Oryzias latipes: one gene and its partners. The protein of the gene in region 5 interacts with the protein of the main gene of each other region in a pairwise test. Links are inferred from orthologs where the notes say so. Each region holds a gene or a part of one and is shown on either strand. Other genes may lie near its edges.

Evidence for each region.
Region 1: the proteins of nudt18 (region 5) and dhps interact in binary tests that used the Homo sapiens proteins (3 or more experiments, as listed by UniProt). The two-hybrid records come from large-scale screens. The link is inferred for Oryzias latipes from reciprocal best matches to the Homo sapiens genes NUDT18 and DHPS.
Region 2: the proteins of nudt18 (region 5) and evi5l interact in binary tests that used the Homo sapiens proteins (3 or more experiments, as listed by UniProt). The two-hybrid records come from large-scale screens. The link is inferred for Oryzias latipes from reciprocal best matches to the Homo sapiens genes NUDT18 and EVI5L.
Region 3: the proteins of nudt18 (region 5) and nt5c2 interact in binary tests that used the Homo sapiens proteins (3 or more experiments, as listed by UniProt). The two-hybrid records come from large-scale screens. The link is inferred for Oryzias latipes from reciprocal best matches to the Homo sapiens genes NUDT18 and NT5C2.
Region 4: the proteins of nudt18 (region 5) and dut interact in binary tests that used the Homo sapiens proteins (3 or more experiments, as listed by UniProt). The two-hybrid records come from large-scale screens. The link is inferred for Oryzias latipes from reciprocal best matches to the Homo sapiens genes NUDT18 and DUT.
Region 6: the proteins of nudt18 (region 5) and rab3il1 interact in binary tests that used the Homo sapiens proteins (3 or more experiments, as listed by UniProt). The two-hybrid records come from large-scale screens. The link is inferred for Oryzias latipes from reciprocal best matches to the Homo sapiens genes NUDT18 and RAB3IL1.
Region 7: the proteins of nudt18 (region 5) and rabac1 interact in binary tests that used the Homo sapiens proteins (3 or more experiments, as listed by UniProt). The two-hybrid records come from large-scale screens. The link is inferred for Oryzias latipes from reciprocal best matches to the Homo sapiens genes NUDT18 and RABAC1.

What each region holds. Positions count from the first base shown.
Region 1 is NC_019866.2:13,273,114-13,277,251, reverse strand, and holds the start of dhps (deoxyhypusine synthase), read right to left. Parts: upstream 2,801-4,138; 5' UTR 2,669-2,800; intron 2,264-2,668; 5' UTR 2,259-2,263; coding exon 2,064-2,258; intron 1,822-2,063; coding exon 1,675-1,821; intron 1,593-1,674; coding exon 1,471-1,592; intron 1,138-1,470; coding exon 1,041-1,137; intron 931-1,040; coding exon 844-930; intron 721-843; coding exon 615-720; intron 543-614; coding exon 439-542; intron 1-438. Other genes in the region: guanine nucleotide-binding protein G(I)/G(S)/G(O) subunit gamma-12-like, read left to right, coding at 3,836-3,934. UniProt on the Homo sapiens protein: Catalyzes the NAD-dependent oxidative cleavage of spermidine and the subsequent transfer of the butylamine moiety of spermidine to the epsilon-amino group of a critical lysine residue of the eIF-5A precursor protein to form the intermediate deoxyhypusine residue.
Region 2 is NC_019859.2:2,642,080-2,645,579, forward strand, and holds part of evi5l (EVI5-like protein), read left to right. Parts: intron 1-1,235; coding exon 1,236-1,352; intron 1,353-3,500. UniProt on the Homo sapiens protein: Functions as a GTPase-activating protein (GAP) with a broad specificity.
Region 3 is NC_019859.2:29,631,490-29,635,441, forward strand, and holds the start of nt5c2 (cytosolic purine 5'-nucleotidase), read left to right. Parts: upstream 1-1,152; 5' UTR 1,153-1,650; coding exon 1,651-1,678; intron 1,679-1,770; coding exon 1,771-1,891; intron 1,892-3,435; exon of another isoform or gene 3,436-3,452; coding exon of another isoform or gene 3,453-3,454; intron 3,455-3,952. UniProt on the Homo sapiens protein: Broad specificity cytosolic 5'-nucleotidase that catalyzes the dephosphorylation of 6-hydroxypurine nucleoside 5'-monophosphates.
Region 4 is NC_019861.2:13,031,777-13,035,910, forward strand, and holds dut (deoxyuridine 5'-triphosphate nucleotidohydrolase, mitochondrial), read right to left. Parts: upstream 2,801-4,134; 5' UTR 2,765-2,800; coding exon 2,650-2,764; intron 2,329-2,649; exon of another isoform or gene 2,054-2,328; coding exon of another isoform or gene 2,041-2,053; coding exon 1,881-2,040; intron 1,738-1,880; coding exon 1,646-1,737; intron 1,557-1,645; coding exon 1,512-1,556; intron 1,411-1,511; coding exon 1,336-1,410; intron 1,107-1,335; coding exon 1,036-1,106; intron 651-1,035; coding exon 594-650; 3' UTR 495-593; downstream 1-494. UniProt on the Homo sapiens protein: Catalyzes the cleavage of 2'-deoxyuridine 5'-triphosphate (dUTP) into 2'-deoxyuridine 5'-monophosphate (dUMP) and inorganic pyrophosphate and through its action efficiently prevents uracil misincorporation into DNA and at the same time provides dUMP, the substrate for de novo thymidylate biosynthesis.
Region 5 is NC_019867.2:402,651-406,771, forward strand, and holds the start of nudt18 (8-oxo-dGDP phosphatase NUDT18), read right to left. Parts: upstream 2,801-4,121; 5' UTR 2,711-2,800; coding exon 2,692-2,710; exon of another isoform or gene 2,646-2,691; intron 2,372-2,645; exon of another isoform or gene 2,368-2,371; coding exon 2,198-2,367; intron 2,126-2,197; coding exon 2,015-2,125; intron 1,944-2,014; coding exon 1,841-1,943; intron 1,764-1,840; coding exon 1,640-1,763; intron 1,564-1,639; coding exon 1,439-1,563; intron 1,096-1,438; coding exon 713-1,095; 3' UTR 1-712. UniProt on the Homo sapiens protein: Mediates the hydrolysis of oxidized nucleoside diphosphate derivatives. Hydrolyzes 8-oxo-7,8-dihydroguanine (8-oxo-Gua)-containing deoxyribo- and ribonucleoside diphosphates to the monophosphates. Hydrolyzes 8-oxo-dGDP and 8-oxo-GDP with the same efficiencies.
Region 6 is NC_019864.2:15,779,452-15,782,042, forward strand, and holds part of rab3il1 (guanine nucleotide exchange factor for Rab-3A), read right to left. Parts: intron 2,569-2,591; coding exon 2,385-2,568; intron 2,269-2,384; coding exon 2,173-2,268; intron 1,910-2,172; coding exon 1,832-1,909; intron 1,689-1,831; coding exon 1,452-1,688; intron 1-1,451. UniProt on the Homo sapiens protein: Guanine nucleotide exchange factor (GEF) which may activate RAB3A, a GTPase that regulates synaptic vesicle exocytosis. Promotes the exchange of GDP to GTP, converting inactive GDP-bound Rab proteins into their active GTP-bound form.
Region 7 is NC_019874.2:20,933,491-20,935,572, forward strand, and holds the end of rabac1 (prenylated Rab acceptor protein 1), read right to left. Parts: coding exon 2,008-2,082; intron 1,339-2,007; coding exon 1,250-1,338; 3' UTR 501-1,249; downstream 1-500. UniProt on the Homo sapiens protein: General Rab protein regulator required for vesicle formation from the Golgi complex. May control vesicle docking and fusion by mediating the action of Rab GTPases to the SNARE complexes.

The DNA of each region.
Region 1 (4,138 bases), on a different chromosome or scaffold from region 5:
AGATAGATAGATAGATAGATAGATAGATAGATAGATAGATAGATAGATACACATGTTTTTGTGCTTCATAAAAGGAGGTCAGAAAAAGAAAACTAAATTAGCACTCTATTTAGTCAAAGAAAGTGCATCTAAAATTAAAAACTACATTAATTTCTGAATAAAATGACTGTTTTCTTTCTAAGCACATTTACATCCCATGCTGTTAGAAATGGCGTAAAAGCTTTGCAGTATTTTTAAAGGACACAATAAAACTATATATAGCAGTTAACAAAAATTGAAACCACTGCTCTTTTAATATGTGTTGAAAGCAACATTTGACATAAAAAAGTGTAATTTCAGAGAAATTCCCCTTAAATTTCCCCCTGCACAAAGGTTATTTTCTGTGCTAAGTGCCACGTAAATGAGAAAAAGGGAAAACTAACGAACTAGGTCAATTACCATAAGGTTAGCATTGGCTATATGATGCTTCACCAGCCCTCCTCCCAGGATGATCATTCCGGTCTTCTTGGCAAAAACTGCCAGACCGTTCAGTCTGCGAATATCTGCAACAAACACCACATTCATGAGACGACTTAGCCCTAACTTTACTATAGAAAAGGGATTTTTGCTTTCACCTTCTACAATGTCCAAAACCAGGCCAGGATTTTTAAATGAGTGAAAGTAAATCATGTCACCCAGAGAGCCATCGGTGAGAGCAGGACTGAACACGGGGATGTTATTCTGAAACAACACGGCACAAAAAATTCAGTTGAGCAAATAAAATGAGGACAAATTCTACTTAAAAAAAGCTAAGAAATGACAACACATTCAATCATTTCAGTTACCGACTGCTATTTTGCTAACCTTATAGGCCCAGTAGTACACAGAGTCAGTATTATTGATCTCTTTGCCCAATCGATGGATCATTTTGGAGGGAGTCCAACGCACACCCTAGTGGGAGAAATGGAATGAATTTGCAGTTGCAAATCTTTTTAAAAAGTGACTGTTAAAGCATCACTGCTGTTTCAGACGTTGGTAATTGATCAGAAAAAAAACCTTACCTCTGTGTTCTGCTCCAGCAGCATCTGGTCCAGAATGGGCATCAGCCAGTCTTCAAATTTACAGTAGTTATCATTGGGAACCAGCAGATTCCCAATCCTATAGTCATGGCAGACAGAAGGAGAAGGAGTTCAGAGAAGGAGTGATGTTTTTGTATCTTAACTGATGTGTTCCTGATGAAGCTGCTGTGAGGCGCGATTGCAGCTTAAATATGACTATAGATACTGAATGCAAACTCACAGTCAACAATAAAAATAGTTCCAAAAATAACAGATTTATCTAGAAAATTTAGTGTGACAACAGCACCCAAAGGAGCAGCTGTTGATGAGCTGTGTGGAGTAAATGCCAGTCAAAATGCCCATCCCTCATTTTTGTCATTTTAAATCCAACAAGTGATGTCAGAAATTAGCATATTAAATCTACAATAACAACCTGTTGATTCCTTTCAGCCGGAGTTCCTTCCCAGACAAACTAAAATCTCCTAAATAGGTGTGAGCCAGACATTTAATCAAGTCCTCTTCAATTCCTCCAGCTGTGGTTACAATCGCATCCACCTAAAACAAAGTAAGAGAATGTAAGAAACGGCTCTGTCTGTTAGCGTTGACAGTTTCGGACAAGCATGACAACCAACTGTACCATTTTGTGCTCTACGAGGTACCGGATGCTTTCTCTCACTCCAGAGCTGATCAGATTGGAGGTGTAACCCAGAAAGATAGTGCAGCCCGAGTGTTGCTTTAACTCATCTCCATCGTCTGCTTCCATTGGCTCGAGGCGTTTCTCAATCTGTAAGGTGTTAAGTAGTTCATAATAGCCACTGGGACATACATTTAATCAAAATAATCCCACAAAAGCAATGCCAAATAAATATAATCTAAAGTCTGACGTGAAGTACAATCAGTAGATAAGGTAGAAAAAAATACTGAACATTTTAAATTTATATTTAAGGAAGATGCAAACAAACTTTTCTGGAGATAAGGAATGGCACAGCTGTGTACAGGGAATTATTCTCTATTCGGCTCACATACCATGTTGTTGATCTGTTGAATGGCCAAACTTAGGCTGCTGGCCTGAAAGCCTGTGGTGAGGTAGGACTTCAGCACCGCCTGCAGATCGACTCCGTGGTTGAAGTCATAGCCTCGGATTTTTGGCATGTCGTCAGGGAGGTCATCGCTGGGCTTCAAGACAGCCTCCATGGCTACAGAGGGGGCGTGGTCTGACATTGTTCCTGCAACCAAAAAAATCCACAACAATAAAAAAAACTGTCATTGTGTTTCTGAGTTGGATTATTTAAAACAAAAAACAAGGGGGGTGGGGGGTCACTTTAGAAACTAAAGTACATTTTCCTCCAAGCACATTTTTACAAGAACAAAACTTGATGCACTATAATTCATTTTAATTTAACACATTTTAATTAATATAAAGTTGACAAAAAAGCCATTAAGCTGAAAAACACATTTACTAATAGCATTGCTTTTTTTAAAATCATAATATTAACTATCTGAATATATAGCAAAACAAAAACCAGAACAATTTGGATCATAAACACAGATGAGAAACACAGATGCTAACTAAAAGAGTCTTCTAAACAAGGTGAAAATGAAAACAGATACATGAAAACTTTAAAACATACCTGTTATCAAAGAGAGACTAAGTTATAATGGGATTAGGGGCCAGGTGACGGCAAATGCGCAGATGGAACATAGCCAGTAACCATCGCATGGGCTACATGTAGCATGAAGCTAGCTAGCTACGGAAAGCGTGAAGGTACAAACAATGCCAACCGCACAAACTTTTTTCCTTTTAAAAGCAAACCTTCACTCTCCCGGTTTTTTTTTTTCCATCATCTTTGTCATTGCTTTTAAAAAAATAAAAAAGTACATGCTTGTGTTTAAAAGTTTTATTTGACTATTACGCTATCAATTGCTATTCTAAATAATGCTTTAATTTGAACATTAACTTTAATCAATTTAGAAACATTGCTTATTTTTATTTTGCAGGAATTAAATAAATTAATAATAAAGTTTTTTAAAGCATGTTTGAATAAAGCGCAAAACAAATCTAAAATTTTGCCCACTTTTGTAACATTTTTACCCCAAATTATAACACATTTAGTTGTATAACAGAAATCTGTGATCACTTTTAGATGAGCAGTTCAAAAATTGAAGAGACTTTCTTTTAAATGCACCTTTAAGGTAAGGGCTTCACTTAAAAACATCCTCAAAGACATGTCAGACCCTGGAGATGATCTGTTTGAACATCTGTATTTCTATCAGGGAAGGGTTACAGGATAATCAGGGTCAGGGTCAAACAAACTCAAGAAGCGCTTCTTTGCAACAGCCTCTCAATATTCAGTTTTCATTAGATAGAGAATTCAATTTGTATAATCTTTTAATTTGATATATTATTAATTTAATGAATATGTAATTGAATATACATAGGCTTGCTGCCACTTTAGTTGGCACTTTAATTTTGCTGCAAATGGTAAAATGAAAATGAACTTGATTCTATTTCTCTTCTACTGCAGCACTCTTATAGAAAAAAGCATGTGTTCCTGTTTTTCATCAGCTATGCCTGTGAAGTAAAATGTATGATGTTGCTGACATTTTGGTCGGTTGACCTTCTCTTATCACAGGGTCTTTGAACTGCCCACACCTTTGAATAAAAAGAGGGCACAGGTCAGACCAGCCTCTCTGGGCAAAGTGTCCACAACGGGAGGTCACCCTGGGTCAGTTTAAAAACTGCTCCAGCGCCCTTTTCCTGCAGAGACTGTTGAAACAGAACTCTTGCACTGAAAGGGATGTCTGGAAAAACTCCCAGCTGCAGCAACAACAGTGTTATTCAGGCACAAAAGTTGGTGGAGCAACTCCGGCTGGAGGCAAGCATGGTGAGATTTAAGGTACGTGAAAACCACTCACTTCAAAATTTATTTTACATCTGTATTTTAAACATTATTTTTGTTGCTTTGATTGGGGGGAAAAAAACAGATGGAACAAACTAATAAGAAAGAATCCAAAAGTCCAAGTGTGTGTGTGTGTGTGTGTGTGTGTGTGTGTGTGTGTGTGTAAAATTGTAATATTCTTTGTAATGTCCTTTGCTCAAG
Region 2 (3,500 bases), on a different chromosome or scaffold from region 5:
TTTTTCCTTTATGTCATTCCACTTTAAAAACAGATAATTGTAAACTTTGTATTTTGTTGTATTATCTTGTTTTCCATCTGGCCCAACAAAAAAAAGTATGCAAACATAATCAATATCAATAAAGTTTAATCTAAAATACAAAAGGGGTTTGTACAAATATACACCTCGTGTGTCAGAAGACTCATAAACCTTTATTGTAACAGTAAAATCAAGGCAATGAGGCCTTCAGCTCTGACCTGTTTGATCAGCTGTTGGATTGGATGAGTAAAAAAATAAAGAATGAATTTGAATTATAGAAATGTAAGTTTTTGAGTTCTATATAGTTACGATTTTAATTTGTATGTTATTAAGAACCGTACTAATCTATAGATAAGCAAAGCAAAAAGAAATGCAAATCAAAGGTCATCTGAGCAGAAAAATACCTGAAGAAATTCACTCTAAATGATGTTTCTGGGACTGATGAACTGATGACTTCTATTCCAGCTCTGATTGGTGTCACTGTTCAGCGCCTTCGATAACAAAGACCGAAAGGCTCAGATAGTCACATCGAGAATCTTGCACTCACGCTATGTACTTACCCACTTTCAATATTGAGTATTTAGCCTGATAGGAAAGCATTTTTCCATTTGAACCTCTTTACTATCATCTGCACGCCTTCACCTTGATGTGGTGTCATGAATGAGCAGAAAGCACTGAGGGTTTCTGTTTACTGACATCACTCTGGTTCAGAGCCTCCAACAGCTGCTGGGTGCCATCAGCCACGAGGTCTTCATCATTCTTTCCAATGACAAACATGGCTTTTTGCTGCATGGTCATTCAGAACCGTTTTTTTTTTCTAGATTCTTTTCAAGCTTTTGCTACAAAAAATAAAGCTACACTTTTCCGAAATGGTAAAATCAGCTCCAGAGGAGTACGACAGTGACAGCTTCTTCTTATTTAGACGAGGAGATGAGAAAAGGGAAAGAAACGTGTTTGGAAGGTGTGACTTCACATGTGTGATTTAGCTGAAACTCTGTGGTAAACATGAGCTCAACCACAAGCTCTTACATGAGCAGTTGTTTGCTGCTCTGTTCTATTACAACAACACAAAAACTCAACAAAGGGGGTCAGTTTGTTTCCCACGATGCATGAAACCTGAGCGACGCTCGGGCTCGTTAAAGATCACGCAAATCCATCAAACGACACGCCACACTTTTGCTTGCTGAAGTCTTATTCTTATTCTTTTTTTCTGTCAGTACACAGAGGAGTTTGTCAGCAACCTGCAGACGCAGCTGGAGCAGTCGCGGCTGCACGAGGCCGAACTGCTGGGAGCGCTGAAGGAAATGCAGGACAAGGTGCTGGACCTGGAGAAGGTACTCCTCCATAAACGGCGTGATGCGTGTGGATGCGTCACGCATGACTAACCCCCATGTTCATGCTTTCGTTTTGACTTCACGTGTTGACGGGCCGCAGCAGCCTCTCATAGTCTTTGTGACTTTAAGGTGACATCAAACTGAAAGCTACACGCAGAAAAAAAACGCCTCAGTGGAAATTGCTTGTTTGTTGCAAATGAATGGAAGCAACAGTTTCTCAAACACTCCTCTGTTTGGTCGCGGATCACCCACAGAACCTTCTGGTGTGAAAAAAGCTTCCTATTTTATTTACTAGACAAGGTAAACTTGTGTTTTAAGCAGCTTTGGCACAACCGTGGACCACATGGAGTAATATATAGCAGTGTTTTTCAACCTTTTTTGAGCCACGGCACACTTTAACCTTGATAAAAATCCCGCGACATCCCAGTATCAAAACAAATTAAAAAAAGGAGAAACCCAAAGTCTGTATTGATCTACAGTCCCTTGCAGCTGTTTTTTCTAAAAGATGTAATAAAAGTTAAGTTAGAAGATTTAAAAACTGTCTGATGTGTGTTCGTTGTTGTTTCAAGACGTCAAAGGAAGATTCATTGTGCGCTGAGACGCTGTCACTTTAACCCAGTGCCTCATGGGAGATGTAGTGCGAACAGCCACCAAACGCCAGACAGACTTTCGTCTCTGAGCTTCATTGATTTGTTCACTTGTTCCACAGTCTGACACCGGATCCCGCGGAAAGCTACATCGCTAAATATGAGCTTTAGCTGGTCTTTTTGTTGGAACTAAACAACTTTATGAGCAGAATCGAAGTGAGGACTTTAACCACTTCTGATTGGTCAGACTGATGACATGTGATTAAGCCTCCAAGAATGATTGGTGGAGGCAGTTGAAGGGGCGGGACTTTTCCTAATACAGCTGTAGCTGTGGCTAAAAAAAGAAAAAAGTCATTTACAATCTTTATATTCCTAACTACTCAGTGTTTTATCAGGGCCTGTTTGGATGAACACAGAGCCGATATCCTGGAGATGGAAAATGTTTTTAGATCGGTTAATGAGGGCAATTTTCCACGGCACACCTGACCATCTCCACGGCACACTAGTGTGCCGCGGCGCACTGGTTGAAAAACACTGATATATCGAACCACAATTGAGAGAAAGTAATGTTTAAATCAGAGCAATTTAGTTAGACTCCTTGTGTCACCACAGGCGTCCCACAGGGATCTATCATTGGACCAACCCTTTTTCTCTTATCTACATAATCAACATAGTTGTCCCTCAAAGAGACTCACGCATCCTCCACTATGCTGATGACACAATCCTCTATTCTGTCACCCCCCTGTCCAGGCACAATGAGAAAACCGTTACTGCATAGTTTCACTGAGCCACAACTTACCCTGAACTGCATCAAAAGTTAAAGTTTTCCAAATGTTTACACTCTCTCCCGCTAGCTTACAGCCCCTCACACCCCCAAGCTAATGTTACCGGTGAAACAAAGTAGTGAGCAATATCAGAGCTGTACAGTTTTGATCCAGATTCCAGCTCAGACGAGGAAAACGTGGATCTATTTGTCTAAAAGTGGATGAACCAGAATGGAGCGGAGCAGGGAGACTGTGGCCCGCCCAGCGTATTTTCTACGTCACAAATAATTTGTTTCTCCACCAGCATTTTTTGTCTGCTCCTGATCCACAATGGCTTATACAAAGAAAATACTCAGAAATGCAATTTGAGCTGAATTTTCTTTATATTTATCCTCCATCATTGAAAAAAATGCAACAAGAACATGTTAAAAACACCATTTACATCGGAGCGGATCTTTCAAAGGTATCTTAATAGATATTTTAGGGAAAAATGCAGGAATACCGTTTAAGGATTTTTATGACTTTAGACCGTCTTGTCTCATTGCTGAAGTTTTTTGTCTGTTTCCTCTTTTCTTTTCTCAAAACGTCTTTCCTTTTGCCAGGCCACAGTTGAAAATAAGAACATTGTCTAGATATATAGGAGCTAAATAAAAAAAAAATATTTTTGAATCTTAAATCCAGAAGTTTTTTGTTGTATACGGTTCCTAGAAATCCAGAACATCACTGTGCAATCACAGAACCTGCTACACTTTTTAAAACTCGTCTTCCCTGGAAGGTATTTCCTCTCACAGTCACAG
Region 3 (3,952 bases), on a different chromosome or scaffold from region 5:
GAGGCAGTCACCGTACAGACATCCAAGCTTTCATTCCACAGTGATGATGTGTGCAGACAGTGCAGGATGGTATACTATCAGCTGAGCTTTTAGTGTTATTACACTGATTTTTCAGAGTCGGCGCTCATCCGCAGACTTCTGAACATAAAAACCAAGTAAAAACCTGGTAATGGCTGCACGGTGGTGAAGTGGAATCATTATGGGATCCCTCAAGAGCTCCACGACGGTTTGTGGCTCTGCATCTTTTCTCAGTTTCTCAGTCACACGCAGAAAAACAGCACCATCTGCCTCAAAACAAATATGGCAGGCTAGTAACTATGGCAACCAGAGGACAGGAAGCAGCACAGGAAGCACAAACAAAATCACTGGAAGAAAAAAAAATGAAAGGAAGTTTTGAAACTTCTCCACCACAAGGCTTTCGCCATACAGTCACTGCCAAGTAGTGGAGCCCCCGCTGCCACCCTTACCAAATAACAGCTGTCTTCCTGTATTCTGTTTCCACGCAACAGCAACCATGCATGAGGTGGATACATGCATACAGGTGCCTTTTTTATCAATGCGTTTGGGCTGGAAATAATATGGAGCTCTGCATAATTTGTGTGAAAAGTTCCTTCAAACAGATGTGATGAATGAATCCTTCATTTGCATGCTTTTTGTTCTATTTGAGCAATATACTCAGAAATACCGTTACTCGTACTCGACTACAGCTCCAGGCTGCCCTCCATTTAATTATCATGTAGTAAGCAGTCTTCAGGAACTTCTCTGCAGGAGCAGACGTTCAGACTCAGAGGCAGGTAGGTGAGCGTGAAGGGTGTTTGGGTGAGGTTGGAGTATTATGGGATGGCCTGCGCGAGGACTGCGGTGTGTTCACATCCCATAGCAGGTCACGTGTCGGTGCCACGAAGACAGCCAGTTCCGCCTCTCTGAGGAGTGCTCAGACAAACGCCGCCTACACCCGCAGGAGGCTCACAGGGAAGCACAGAGCCCCGCACAGACAGAGCCCCGCATTCGAACGTTTGCTGCTCCGCGTTGAGGATTTCTGCCCGCGTTTGCTCTGCTTACGGCGCATGCTCAGACCAACCGTTCGCGCTTTAGTGTTTTTGAGGAGCCCCGAGGTGAGTTTGGCCAGATCCGTGACGGGAGGCGGGCGAACCCGCGCGGGCCGTTGACGGCTTTTGTTTCTCGAGACAGTCACTCGCTCAGCTTGGGCTGACCTTCCCGGAGTGGGGGCCCTTTTAGCTAGCTTCAACCGTGGAAAAAAACTAAACAGAGGTCGACGAAAACCCGTAAACCATGACGTCAGCGGTCGCTTATTCCTACAAGTCAATATTTTATGACTTTACACGCGCGCGACAATTGTCAAGGAGGTGCCCCCAAGTCGCCGCGGCCCCGGACTGTCCGTTCCCCGTGTCCCTGAAGGCCACACGCGGCGTTTGCGGCCCGACTGACAGCCCCCGTCGGGCTGGAGCCCCCCACCCCCCACCCCAGAGTCAACAGAGGAGAAACCAGCGCGAGGCTGACTGATCAAAGTCCACAGGCTCAAGCCGCTGTAATCACGTTTCTCTGTTGATCTGGAGGTTCTGGTGATGGACGGAGACTGATTGAGTTAGAAATCTGTGTCCGGTTTTTGTCATCTGCTGGTGTTGGTTAATGATCCAACCTCTGATGTTCCCCTGTTGTGAGAAAATCTTTTAAACAAGCATAATTACCCAGACCGACTCATCTAAAGTTGACAGGACGTTGTGTTCTGTTTGTGTTTCTTTTCTTCAGACTTTCTACACTTTAGAAAGATGACTACTTCATGGAGCGACAGACTGCAGAACTACGCAGATTTGCCCGCCACCATGGACGGCCTGGCGATGAAGAAATACAGGAGGGAGCCCTACCACAGGTGAGAGGCCCCACTTGAAGATCTGATGATCCGCAGAGGAAGCATCACAGACTCCTCTCTCATCATCCTCCCACAACTGATTTAAACTCGGAAAACTATGGTAACATTGGATGCAAAACAGCATTTTGAAACAAGGAAAAAGGACTTCCAAAAGCTGGAGCCATCAAGTGCGTTTGTGAAAGAAGTGGCTCATGTTCTTTTAGAAAAATCCTCTTCAGAAATACAGAAGAGCTGTTTTTGGTTTCCTCAGCTGACGTTGTGGGCAGGAAAACGAAGCCTCTTCCTGTTCTTGTTACCCGCAAGAGCAGATACTGCTGGTGTTGTTAATGCGTCTTCGTGGACGGCCTGTGAAGGCAGGTGAAGTATGAGAAGCAGTGTGGGAAATAGGTTGGAATGGGGGGAGGACGGTTTCAGGTGTGATGTGTAACTAAAGAGCGTCGGCCAGAATGAAGGGAAAGGTGTAGAAGACGGTGCAGCCATGTTCCTCGGGCGAGTCAGAGCTGGAGGTAGCTGAGATGAAGATGGATAGGATCAAGAATGGATCCGTCAGAGGACCAGATCATGGTAGATGTTTCAGAGATAAATGCAGAGAAGCAGATTGAGATTGTTTGGACATGTTGAGAGGAGGAACTGTGATTATTATAGGAGATGGATGCAGAGGTTGGAGCTACCAGGTCAGAGGCCTAGAGAGAGAGAGAGAGATCTCTAAAGGGAGCCGGCGAAAGGAGGAGACAACCAAAGTTGGGTTTTGAATAAAAGGATTTGTGTTAAATTGGAAATTAAACCACACTTTGAGCTTGTGGTACTTTGTACATTAAGGATTATTTACTTTATTACAACATAATTATAATTTAATCAATTCAGAGGCAAAAAAAACTGTTGACACCCAACTGTTTTCTTCATCTGCCTCCTTTTCTGCATAAACCTTTGAAAGGAGTTGAAGTGGATAGCGGTTTTTTTCTGTCTCTTTGGGCTCCGGGTCTGTAGTGATGCTTCCCCTCCGAGTCTCTGGTGGTTGTTATGTGGGACACGTCGGAAATCACGAAGCAGACCAGCTCCTGTTGGATCGGATCCCACATTGGACTGCTTGGTTCTCGGCATGAACATTTGTGCAGAACTTCCCAGGCCTTCAGCCCACCAAGCTCCAGTTAAACACCACGTCTGATTCTATAGCCTTTTTAGTAACGTCTATAACCAAAACCCAGGACCCCCCCCACACATACACACATACACATAGGGAAAACAAGATTTTGTTTTTACAGTAATAAAGCTGATATCAGTGTTTATCTGCAGGGGGTAACATGCAGGGGCAGAGTCCACCCCTGCTATTGTTAATCTAGGGTCGCTAAGGAGTGGCATGTGTTGTGGTGCTGTTAACCCCCCCGGAAAGATCTTACCTTCCAAAGCTAATGATGCTCTAAAATAGAAAAGGAGTGAAATCTGCGGCTCAACGTGAGCCGGCTGGCTCCATCAGGCTGACGGGGAGCTTCTGCAGAACAGCTGCTTCTTCTTTCGCTGATGGACTTCAGTCTTCCTGAAACTTCTGAGGAGGCTAAGTTAAATGTCAGTAAGACTGTTTGATCTTTTTCAGGAAAATTCAGATATTTCAGTGTTTATTTGGGAGTGTAGTTTTTCTTCTAAAACGTATAAAAACTGAGATCAGTGTTGTAACGTTGTTGGATTGCAGCTTTAAGGCAGATTCCAGCCTGTTAGAGGTGAATATCAGCTTTTGGGACCGCCACCGCTGCTCGCGTTTCCACAGCGAGCTCTGCAGCTGTTGCTGCGGCGCGCCTCGCTCCACACCGCCTCGGATTGTTCTGGACCTCTTCGAGGGATCACAAACATCACACAACAACAGCCCCAACTGGCAACACACAACAACAGAGAAGGATGCGGAAAGGCCACAATCGTTTTTGCAACAAGTCAGAAAATGTCTGAATGGCAAGAAAGCCGGGGGGAGGGAGGGCGCTTTGTTTGTGGCCACGGCTCTTGGCTGCCGTGGGGGGAGCCCGTCAGAACAGTCCGACTCCAGCTTAATTTCACACAGAATGTTTTGCCGGT
Region 4 (4,134 bases), on a different chromosome or scaffold from region 5:
CGCACATTCTCTCACAAGTTAAATCAGTGCCGCATTGCCACGGACCAGCGAGACACCCGTCTGTGTTCTCTGTTCACATCAAGTGAGGGTTAAGTTGAGAAATTCACAATAAAAACAACTTTGGTGTACGGTGAACTCCCTGCTTGGCTTTTCCCCTTCGTCAAAGTTGAAACCCGAGACAGACGCTAACTACACCAAAGCTGCAGTTGTGCATGACCAAGGTGGGGTGCAGCAGTGTCCCCGAATGTTTTGGCTAAGTACATTTCAAATGCAGTTAAAGGGCTCTGAGAAACCGAAGCACACGCCTTCCAGATGCTGGAGAATTTCACACCTCCACCCCTATGATAATTACACTACACTACTGCAGGAATGTGGATTGTAACAGGAGTTGGGCTGCAGGGAAATTGTCTTATACTGCCACCACGTGGAGATTATGAGTATTACAACTTTAAGACTGATCTAAAGTTTAAAAAAAGTGGATCCAAACAAGGAAATGTAGTTTATGAAACTGTAAAAAATAAACTTTATTAGCACCTAGGTAACATAAAATAACTTCATCAGTGTATTGTCACTTCAAATTTGTTTCGAGGTCTTCAGTTGCGTCCAGTCGATCCAAAGCCTCCAGACCCTCGCTCCGTATCATCAAGTGTCTGAAAAAGCATGACAGATCCAAGTAAATTAAAACTTTTACAGTGAGCAATGACATCTGTATTTTTAGATGGTAAAAGACCCTCAACTTTCAGTTTATGAAGAAAACAAGTATTGCTGGGCTTTGGTGAACTGAGTGTTACGTTTCTTTCATTGTAGGGCTGTCGTGAAACCTGCAGGACTACATGTTGATCATTGTAGAGCCACAAAGATTGCATAAAAACTAGTACTGAGAGATGCAAGTATTTTTTTCAAACACAATGAATTCACACAGTTATTTTATCACAACTTTAAATGAAGAAAAACAATTTAAAGGTTTATTTTTTGGGTAAAACATTTCTTTTAGTAACATAAATCAAATAAAACAGCTGTAATGTGTTGGATTACCTCTTGCTCTTCCAGCTCTGGGTAGCAGATTCTTTCACACACCAACTGAGCAACCCTGTCCCCTTTTTTCACTGCAAGGAAGAACACCAGACATTTATATGGACATCTGCATCTGCCTTAGCAAACACCTCTCTACTTCCCTTGTATAATGCTCCAACAACAAGCATATCCACTGTTTGTTATAGTCAATTATGTCATGTTTACAGGTAAGCCTAATATTCCAGGGCATTTTTACTTCCCAGCTGCATGTAACTGCTGGCACAAGTGACATAAATGTAGTGTTTATTGACGGCAACTCACCTTCAAATGTTTCTTTGCTAAAGTTAAAAAGCACAACACCCAAGTTTCCTCTGTAGTCCTCATCTACAACCCCAGCTGAGAATGCACACACACACACACACAAAAACAGGAATTGAAATGACCAACACATAGGTTAGGCTGTGACAATGAGCTCAAAAAAAGAAAAAGAAACATACCACCAACATCAATAAAATGCTTGGCAGCCAGTCCAGACCTTGGGGCTGAGAAGGTAAAATGGTAATAATAGTCTTAAATTGTGTTGCTAAAAAAGTACAAGGATATAAAAGAGCAGCTCTTCAGTTCAACTCACCCACTCTCCCATAGCAGCCATGAGGAACTGCAATCTGAATGTCTGTCTTCACAATGGCCTTGTCCATGGGACCAATGGTGTAATCATATGCACTGTTTCACAAAAAATAAAGTTATTTAAAACATTCTGATTCCACACAGGCGAACCTAAAACATGTTTGACGTTATTCGTGTTAATGTTTAGGAATGATTGTCACACCAAAACACCTGTGCATGTACAATAAAAACCGACTAACCTGTACAGATCATATCCTGCTGCCTTGGATGAGCCTCGCGTGGGGGTCGTGGCATTCTCAGAGAGCTTAGCAAACCTAAGAACCGTTCTTTGCTCCTCTGCTCTAGGTTCTGTCCGAGCTCTCTTTGATGGAGAGACTGCTGAAGCATCCGTGACGACGTCTAACACAGGCATGGTAGCAAAGTATTACAGTTAAGAACCAGAAGACGGTTAAAAAAATACCAAAAGTAATACAAAACTAAAAGCTATGTGCAACTCGCTGTGCAGCTTCGCTGATTTCTGCAACCTTCCGTTCCAGTTTTTTGGAGGGAAAGCAACTGTTTGAATTAAGCGCTCGCGGGCAGGAAATAGTTCCTCCCCCAAACAGGAAACGGAGACAGAACTACCGGGGTTGATGCATACATAAGCAGCAAAACGAACAGATCAAATCGTGTTTTTTATACACATTTATTTACAGAGTCATTTAAACAAAAAAGAAAAAAAATAGGCAAATAACTGCACTTTTCATCCATAAAATTATCTTCCAATGAAGATGTTTGCCAGATTAGAGTGACAAAGAAGTTCTTCTTGGCATGCGAAACACAGCTCTGTGTTGATTAATTTCTTAGCATTTACGTCCTATAAAAAATAAAAATAGATTTCGCGTCGGTCCACCCTGTTAGCACACACTCTAGCTAAAAATAAACCAACCGGGGAGACACACAGACAGCGACTAAAAAGCTCGCTTAGTCTAATGATGTCAGTAACCTCTTGACATAAAATTATCTTGCCTTTATTTTCAGTGACCATTTGAGTGCTAAAGTTGTTTCCCAGGAAACGTGGAGCAGTAGAAAAAAACAAAGATCGCCGCTGAGAATATCGCAGTGCTGGTAATATACGTAACATTATTAGCTAACAGCTCACCTCTCCGAGCAGCATCTTCTTGTGCTTCCAAAATGGGATTTTGTTTTTACGGCTCACTACCGCCACCGTGTGCTGCGGAGGATAATGCAGGCGAGCCTGACATACCAAGAAATCTGTGATCTCTACCTTGCAAACGTGTAAATATAGACTTTTCTTCTTTCTAATCCATTGTGCTCAACGCCAGAATCTACAACTTTTCATTTGCTATTAAATTTCTTTCTGACTTTTTAACTATACTTTATTGATAGATTGTATCTAAGCAATCAATGAATCTTTACAGTAGTCACGTCAATCTACCTTATAATTGGAGTATAATGTAGTGTAATTCTCACTGTGTAGACCCCTAATGTGTTAGCTGTCTACTATTTTGTATCCTTAGTGGTACTATCTGGATAGATTAGAATTAAAAATATAATTTGGACAAGTTCAGATAAAAGAGTTTGCACAAATTTCCAAAAATTGCAAAAGTTTGTTGTGATACATAAAACCACTATCAAAGTTTTTTCTTAATTTTTTTTATTCTATTCTTTCTTTATTTTTTTTAATCATAAAATGTTTCTCTGAATGGTGTAGCCCACATTACTGCTCTGTGTTAAGAAAAGCAGCATTGTCAGATAGTTCATGCTCATGTTTTGTCTCATGCAAAAGAATTTTGTGCAATTGTTCCCCCAAATTACCCCACATAATTATTGAGAGTTGTATGCTTAATCTGGTGAATCTTTTCCACGGGCTTTCTTTTTATTGTAGTATTTTGAAAGAAAGTCTCACACAACAAAATACTTGTCTGTTACATAAAAGTTTAATATATTTATAAATGTGGGGGGAGGGATTTTTACGTTACACTTAACAAACAAACTTTTACTCAAACAAACAAAATGCCCACATACTTTCATTAATAAAATAACACATCAGCAAGCAAGATTTGAAAGAACACCTGCTCATACATTATGTTGTGCTGTATCTCAGGTAATCACATCTGTTAATTAAATAAGAAGAACAAGGAAATTGGTGAAATATACAGCATAGTTGGTCTTCTGGTACTTTTGCATCAGATGATTTGGTTAAAAAATATGGATTATGATTGTAACTTGAAAACATGACAGTGACTAAAGTGGCTCAGGTAAACAATTGCATGAGGGCAATGCACGCTACATCCAGTGAACATCAAAATTAAGAAAAGAAAATTAACTCATCATTAACACAGTGCTCATAGAATTTGCATTACCTTAGCCAATAATCATTTGTGAAAGCTTTCTTTGTTCAAAAATTATCAATTTTAGGGTTATATATACATGTATTTTACAGTGACTAATGCACAGTGTGTTTGCCTCTAACTCTACCTATCCAGTTAG
Region 5 (4,121 bases):
AACAGAACGCCGTTAAAGTGCATCAATGCCGTCACACATCATTCAGACACATTTCAGTCCAAACGTTTGTCTCATTTCCTAGAGAAAAGTTCATTTAAACACGACCTTTAACCCCACGATCTGCACTCAAAAACCCCTCAATGAAAGTCTTTGCCCCCCTCCCTGAGAAACGATTTCTTCATCACACATTGAAGCTTCTGTGTTCATCAGCAGCTGAAGGAACAGATGTTGATCTGAAACGGTGTCTCCTGAAGTCTGGATGTTCTGAACATCTTCAGGTTCTCCCACGGCCTCTGACACGTTTCCAGGAGTCACACGGACGTTCCTGCAGCTTTAGAACTTCAGAGATCCATCAGAGAACCTTCGGTGGAACCATCAATCAAAACGGCTCCACAAAGAGATCTCATCCTGAAAGCAGTAGAAGATGGTTCCCGATCCAACAGTCAGAAGAACAAACGCGGATCCATGAAGGAAAAAGACACGGCTGAGGAACAAGAACCCAGAGGAACATCTGGATGAGCCACAAACGGACCTTCCTGGGAGGAGAACGATTCTGCTCTGAAAGCTTCACAGTCACACATTCACATTGACAACTGCAGGAAACACTGACGCAACATGATAATACCCCTCAGGGGGCAAATACTTTCCCTCCATCTGAGACGCTGAGGTCGTGAGGTCACCCTGAAAGTCCGCTTGCTGTCACTGAGCGCGCTCAGTACAGGCTGTGAATCGGCAGCACGGACGTGTTTCTGGTTTTTTCCAGAAGTTTCTCTCTGAGATCCAGATTCTGAACCTCAAACCAGACGTATCGGGGGTTCTCTATGGGTGGGGGCCTCCCCGTAGGCGGGAGCTCCACCTTCAGTCCGTCCTCGTCACGTTGCACGCGATCGGGCACGAGCGCCACCAGCGTGTTGAGGCAGACACCGTCCGTGCGCCCGTGCTGCCGCCCGTTGTGCTGCAGGCCGCAGACGCCCAGCGTGGCGACGTCGTGGTCGTAGTAGGACGACGGCAGGGCCTCCTGCACCACCATGTTGGCCGCCCACGTCACCGCATGGGTTTTCACCGCCGCGGCGGTGGGGAGATGGGGCGTCGGGCCTGCAGGTCAGGAGGAGGTCAACAAGATTTTCAAAATAAAAGCAGTCATCCTGCTGAAAAAGGAAAATAAGAAAACCGTCAGAAAAATGCACGGGAAGCTTTGCTCCTCCTCCACCAGGGAGGGGGAGGAGCCAAACTACTCCTCCCTGGTGGAGGAGAGAGTGGTCGGTGTTAGACTCTGATTCAGGAGGAACCAGGCGCTTCATGACCCGGTCAGGGAACAGGAGGTCAGCTCTACGCCTCACACAGACGGCGTATGTAAGTGTTTGTAAGGGAGGAGGGTTGGAACCATTTTCCCATCATGCTTCGGGACCGACATCAGACTGTGTGTTGGGGGTTGTACCTCGGACCAATAGGATCCAGATCTGATCTTCGGCACCAACAAAGACCAGGACCATCCTCTGCACCACGTGACGACAACTCAGGTCAACTGGCAGAGTGACAGGATGCCAGGGATTCCTGCGGTACCTGAAGGCAGCACCGTCAGTCTAGACAGCGGGAAAACCTCCACAGATGTGATGTTCGGTGAACGTTTGGTGTTTACTTGAGCCCGTTTTCGATGAGGCGGAGGATGTCTCGTCCTCTGAGGGGGAGGGGGGACTGTCTGTCCCACCAGGCGGCCTGCAGAGACTCCTGATCTGCTGCTGCCAGACTCTTCAAACTACCACCTGGAGAAGAGGAGACCCAGGTTCACTGAGGTTCCCCCCCCCCCCCCAAAGAGCACCCCGGGTCGCTCTGACACCACCTGAGATCCTGGCGAGGAAGATGAAGCGGATCCATTGTGGCCCTTGCTCCTGGATGAGCAGCATGGTGATTGGCTCACAGTCAAACCCCGCCTCCTCCTTCACCTGCAGACAGCCACAGAACAGGTAAGCCAGGAAGTGGGTGGAGAAAAAAACATGACTCCTGCATGCCTCACCTCCCTCCTGAGCGCCTCCTCCAGGCTCTCCCCCACCTCCACCCTCCCTGCAGGAAGGTACCACTGCTTGTAGCAGTCCTGTTTGGCCTCCTGCACCATCAGCACCTCCTCCTAAAGGAGCCACACGAACAGGCTTCAACATGAGGAGGAGCGGCCGCCGCTCTCATGGCGTGCTGGGCTTGCCTTCTCATTGAAGATGACGGCGCAGACGATGTAGGTAATGTTCTTCCTCAGCGCCGCCGGCTTGCTCTGCTCCATGCCGACATCACAGAGGCTGACCTCTGACCCCTGGCCACTCAGCAGCCGCTCCACCTGCTCCTCCACCAGCTGCCGCTCTGATGTCATCTCAATGTCTGCCTAGACACGGGGGAAAAAATGGGTCCTAGTTCACGTCCAGCACAATCCGTGTGATGCTGCTTCATGTTCAAGCTTAAGTGAGGAGTCCCAGCAGAACCAGAACCTGAACCCAGAGAGACCCTCCATGTGAACCGGACCCTCCTGTGTCACAGAGAGGAGGCCTGGAGTTCCACTGATCAGCAGAGGCCCCTTCAGACCTTCATCCACTGCTGGGCTTTTCTCAGCCTAAAGTTTTGGTTCCAATTGGTTCTGCCTCCGTTTATTTGTGTACTTTGGGGTTCTGACAGGTGTGATGATGACGTGGGGGGTGGGGGGCTCACCAGTCTGCCTCTGTTTCATAAAACTCTATTGAAGAGGAATCTGGTTGTGGCCACCTGTTGAAACGGCACGTGCAGCTTTGAGCGTCTGTGGACCGGAGTCACGAACCGGATCCAAACGGAAGCTTCGGGACCAGGACCAGGACGCTCCTGCAGTCAGTTCTGTCCTCTGAAGAACCCCATCGTGGTTCAAACTAGTCCAGGTCTGCCTGAGGTGAGACTCACTAGATCTTCTCCTGTGAAACGCTGAGGTTCTCTTTTGTTACCTGGATGAACTCAGCAGAACCTCCAGCAACTCGCTGTACGTCGGTACTTCAGTACTGAGCTCTCTGCAGTAGCTGCTAGCTAGCATAACAGCTAACGGGACGCAAACTATTTGAGTTCTTCTCTCTGTTTAGCGCAAAACTGGGAATCTCGCAAATGAATTTATCATAAGCGCCATCTTTTTTTTATTTTTATTAAAAAGCGAACCTTTTTCTGCTTGGTCTCCGCAACTCTTCACACTTGTCAACGGCAAACAAACCAGGAAGTGCACCGTCTTTAACTTCCGGTTGGAGTTTCAAGCTTCATCTTAGACTTTTTAAAATTGCAACATTTTCTCAGTTATTTTACGTTTTTACAGACTATACTACGTTTAAATATATTTTGAAATTTGAATTTAAGTCGTTTACATCTTTTTATTAGTGTAGTGGGATTTTTCGTGACTAAACGGCCTTTATTGTGAAATCTGTGGATGAACAGTTTCTCAGCTTCCTGTTTTCATTTTCCGCTTCCGCGTGTTATAACGCTGAAAGGTCAGTCGAAGGCTGTAAGCGCTGAAACCGTGTGTCTGCAGTGATTTACCGGTTGGGACTAACCGGGCAGAAACCCTCCGTTTCTGTAGGGGGGGTTGAAGCTGGACTCGTGAGTTTAACTTCTTGTTCTGACCTCTAGGCAGTTTTCAGCAGCTGGGGGGTTCTGGTCAGAAGAGGCGGGTTCCGTCCATCCTGATGTTCTGCAGCTTCATGTCTGTTTATTTGTCTTCATTTTGTCTCTTTCTGCTCATGTTTTGACTTTTTTATGCCCCTTTGGTTTGTTACGTAGGGGGGGGGGCTGTTTGTAAAGTTACAGTTACATTTTAACTGAAATATTTTTGGATATTTAGCAGGTTTCATTTTAAATGCAGGTTTTCACATTTTGATACAATCTATTTTTTAATGTTTTATTTACTAACTACTTTTTTAGTTTGCAAGCTAAATAGTTAAAGTATTTTCTTTTATAATTAAACATTTAGTTAAGTAATTAAAAGGTGAAAATATGGATTTGAAAGATAAAACCTGCTAAAGTAAACAATAACTGTCACTTTACAAGCGGGTGGCTGTAGTTTAGCACCAAAACTGTTTGGCAGTATTTCCTAAACTGAGACCACGCCCTTGCCCCCCCCATGGCAAAGC
Region 6 (2,591 bases), on a different chromosome or scaffold from region 5:
TCCTGAATCCGATACGTATCCGATCTTTTAAAATGCGACCCCTGTCTGAACGGCCAGGACACATGTATCCGACTTGTACGTCATTGATACGCTACAAACGTCATAATTCTGCGTTGAAGTAGGCACGAACTAGAACATAAACATCAACCATGGCGGACGATGCTGCTGAGACCAGTCAGTGGAACGGACGCTAGGTCACCGATTGGATTAATATTTGGGGTGACAGCTCTGTTCAGGCCAAATTCAAGGGCTCTCATCGCAACCGGGCGGTTTTTGAAAAATTTTCCAGCTATATGGCCGAGCGTGGTGTTGAACCTGCCCCGCATGACTATTTTCCCCCTTTCCGACCGTGGTCAGAAACGCGGGGGAGACCTTCTCCAGGGCCGAAGGCGGATCCTCCTTCGGGGTTCACTTCCCCATTCGGACCCTCCGATTCTCCAGAGCAGGTTAATAAAGAGTCAAAAGCAGTTCTGCTGGGGGGAGCCTTCTTTTATTATCGTTCTCCTTCCTCCGTGACACACAACATGATTGCACGCCCCCACTGCCCCTCAGAGAGGAGAGTGTGCGCGCAGCGCAGCAGAGAATACTGCACTGCATGCACACTTTCCTCTCTCTTACACACACGCACGCAGCCCCAGCACATCCACATCCCCATTCAACAACAGTGGGTCCAGACAATCCTGGCTCCAATAAAATGAGAAGATTGTAATTGTGCTGGCTCCTTTGTGAAAATAAATGTAATAATGCAAAAAGAGATCCGCTGTTGACAACACTGTTGTTGACATCCATTGTTAATGTTAGCTACTTCCGCAAACAACGAGTGATGTCGTTCACCGCTGAGTACTCTTCTGCGCATGCGGGTCACTTCTGGGTCATTTCACGTTCACACAGGAGATCACAAATGTTCGCATTTAATTGGAAATGTGAAAGGCCTTGCAAAAAAAATTGAACTTTTTCAAAAAATCGAAATCGAGCATCAAGCCCTGCAGTGTGAATGTACCTATGGCAATCCTGATGACTCAAAAGTCTAGAATAATATGGGTTTTGAGCACCAGTTTTTCCACTATTTTGACACAAAGCTTTACCACCCAAATAAACCACAAATCACTAAAAAATACAAAGAAAGTTGCATGTTTATTTAATGAACATATCAAATACACGTGTCGATTTTTTTTGCATTCAATATTTGTTTCAAGAATAAAGCGTTGGCACCTGCTTGTCCCAAAGAGTTCATCCTGACAGACTGACCTGATAGCAAGCAGAAAATGAGAGCATGAAGAGCAGGAACAAAAGACTGAGAAGACAGGACACACCAAAGACGGACAAGAAGACAGATAAGGAAACATAGGTCAAACTGACTCAAGAAGAGGCTTAAGGTATAGAAAAAGAAGGAGTTCAGAGTTACAAAAACACTAAAAGAGAGAGACAAATCCCAAATATTTTTTGGTTACCTCTCTATCCTCTTTAGCCACAGATGGAATAGAATGGGATGAAGATTCCAGCTTCCCAGCTGAGGTCGGAAAAACTCCACTTACGCTCTTGTTGCGGACATGGCCTCCGACATGTTTGTATGACCCTCTTGTACCTGAAGTCTGCAGCTGTGGATGCAGCTGCCAATTAGGTGAGGAAGGCGTCGATGTCAGCACCAGAGTCTTGAGTGCAGTCACCTCTGCCTGCAGAACATCAATCTGATGGGACAAAGCCAAAGAACAGTTGTGAAAATGGACTTGGTAGCAAAAAAAAAATACTCTAAAACATTTTTAAAGGGTTTGATGTAGGCCATTACTGTTCAAAGTATCATGATTATGAGCACAAAAGAACATGTGCACACCTTTCCTTGAGCCTCTTTCAGCTGTTTTTCTGCTCCTGCCTGTTTCACATTGGCTTCACGCACCATCTTATGAGCCTCCTGTTGAAAGACAACCAGACATTTTTCTCTGATAAAAGACAATCACTACACTAAATCAATAGAGTAGACGTTGATCAGCTTTAGAAAGGACCAAGCATAAAAACACTTGAAATCTAATACAAATAAAATAATATAAAAATGTCAAATACAATGTGTTGAATTCACCTTTTCATGCATGAATAAATATTTTTGTTCCAAATAGTTTGGCACACAGTGTCCCTAACACTTCTACAGCAACACAGGAAACTGTAGTTTTTGCTAACCTCAAACAGACTGGCAGTCAGTTCCTCAAGTTCTTGCTCCAGCTGGTTCCTGACTTGTGACAGACGCTCACACTCCTTATCTTTAAGTTTCAGTTCCTGAGATGGACAGAAAAAAAACAACGAATCAACTGGGAAAGAAAGACTGCACCGTCAACTTTTTTGTTCAATTCTCTCTTTGTTTATGCCTGTGCGTATAAAGTAGGTTACCACACCCTCTTAGCAGCATCCAACTGTTCTCTAAGAATCTCAGAGCCCTTCTCTCTTATCTCCTTTTCTCTTAGTTCCAGTGAAGAGCTGCGCAGCCTGGTGAGCTCGCCATGAGATCTGCCCGAGGGGGGCCCACCTTGGACCCCTCCCTCCAGTCTCAGGTCCGGCTCTGGATCCAGGTCTACCAATCTGCAGAAGACCACAAACAAAAG
Region 7 (2,082 bases), on a different chromosome or scaffold from region 5:
CACTCTGGCTGACAAACCCCCCCCCACACACACACACTCTCACCCCCGTTCTAATTTCCCCCGTGTCTCTGCAGCGAGCTCACTGCAGTGCGACTGTGCTGCCTCCCTCGTCACCCTACGTATAATAGAATATCGATCGCCTGCCTCTGCCGCAGTGTGTAAGCGAGTGTTCCTGCGGACGAGTGTTCGTCTGACTGGGGCCCTCCAAGGTCATTGCCATGGCAACGTGAAGACGGGGGCCTTTCACCGTGCTGCCACAGAGCACAGGTCGCAGGGGTCGCATCAAGAGGGGGATGAGAGGGGGTTGGCGAGCACTGCAGTACCGGTGTGCTGGAAGAGCGCCGCAGCCACAGCGACGGGCATCCACTTATTTGACTTTATACAAACTGGAGCCAAAGAAGATGGACAGGTACAGTGCAAAAAAAAAACATGCCTTCACGGCTTCAGAGGTCATTGCATCCTACAGGAATTTACTCAAACATACGAATTACAAAACAATGTTTTTTTTAAACACATTTTATTGCACTTCCAAATCTTAGCAAAAGACAACAGTTACATCAAAATAGACAATTTCAGAAACAAGCTTCATGATTTGGACACCATCAGACTAGAACCGAAAAAATATTTACCAAATGTAAGAGGCAAATACTGACCTTCTCTGACAAGTTTTACCACCAACTTAAAAAGCCCTTTTTTAAAATGTTCTAAATACAAGTTTTTGTACAATGTTATTAGGCCCACTATAACTTTTGAATGGCACTTCATCTTAAAAAAACAAAAATGTAAATGTTTTCTCAATGCGAGATACCTGTTGTTGTCAAGCAGAATCTATTTCCCAATAAATCTGCACTATAGTGCAGCACAGACACACTATTAATAAGTAACGTCATTTTTGATAAAAGATAATGCAAAGAGCCAGAATAATCATACAAATAAGAAGCAAACATGCACAGAAAGGCATAGAATCTGTCAAATGATGTGCTCTAAGGCACGTTAAACATAAAATTGGTCTGCATTGATGAGTTTGCCATTAAGAACAGTAATCGATGAGGCTGGACGAGGTGCATTCTTGTGTCTATATCTGGAGGTAAAACAACAGGAATATAAGATACAAATAAAGAAAAGGAATCAGTTTCATTGCAGCTTTCCCCCTCCTAAACCCTTGAGGGCTGATGCAGTTGTAGGGTCAAAGGGACCCCCCAAACATTGACCAGCACCTGGGAAAGTGTTTCACCCTCTTTTTTTTCTTTTACACAGACTCCATGAGCAGCTCCTCCATGTCGGATCCCTCCAGCTCACGGAAAACCGCATGTGTGCCAATCACAAACAGTGTTGCTCCTAAGACGAAAGAAGAAAAGTCAGGAAAACCAGACAAAAAAAAAAGTCCTAAATAAATGAAATTACATCATTGTTTAGCTGATTATGGTCTAGGTGCATTCTTGTGTCTATATCTGAGGTAAAACAACAGGAATATAAGATACAAATAAAGAAAAGGAATCAGTTTCATTGCAGCTTTCCCCCCCCTTGTGCTATCTAAGATAGCACAAGGGGCAAAAACATCCCCCTTTTCTGTTTCTCCACTTTTGCCTCTTTCTTAACCCTTGTCCTATCTTAGATGACCCCACCCTTACATTGACGTGTTCTCCCTACCATGACAAAGGTGGATAAAGGTGGAAAGATTTCATGTAATCCATGGACACCAATGAAGATCACAAATCATTGAAGAAAAAAGGTTCAGAGCACTGTCTGGTGGGTCTAGATGACCCAACTCCCAGTGGTAAAGGGCCTAGGATAGCACAAGGGTTAAGCCAGCCTGACCAAACCTGACCAAGTGCCTAAACCCCTGTTGAGGAGCAGCTCTCTATGTTCATGGAAGTTGCCACAACAGTATTCCTTTGGTTACCAACATAACTTGAGATATCAATGTAGCTCTAATTTTACAACTGAGTGTTTAAAGAGATGTTCTGGTGAACATAGAGTATGACGGAAACACTTAGTTTATCTCACCAAGAACCCAAAACACAGCAGCTCCAGCTCCAGCCAGCCAGAACACCGGCAGGGACAAGGCTCCAGCGAGACCCA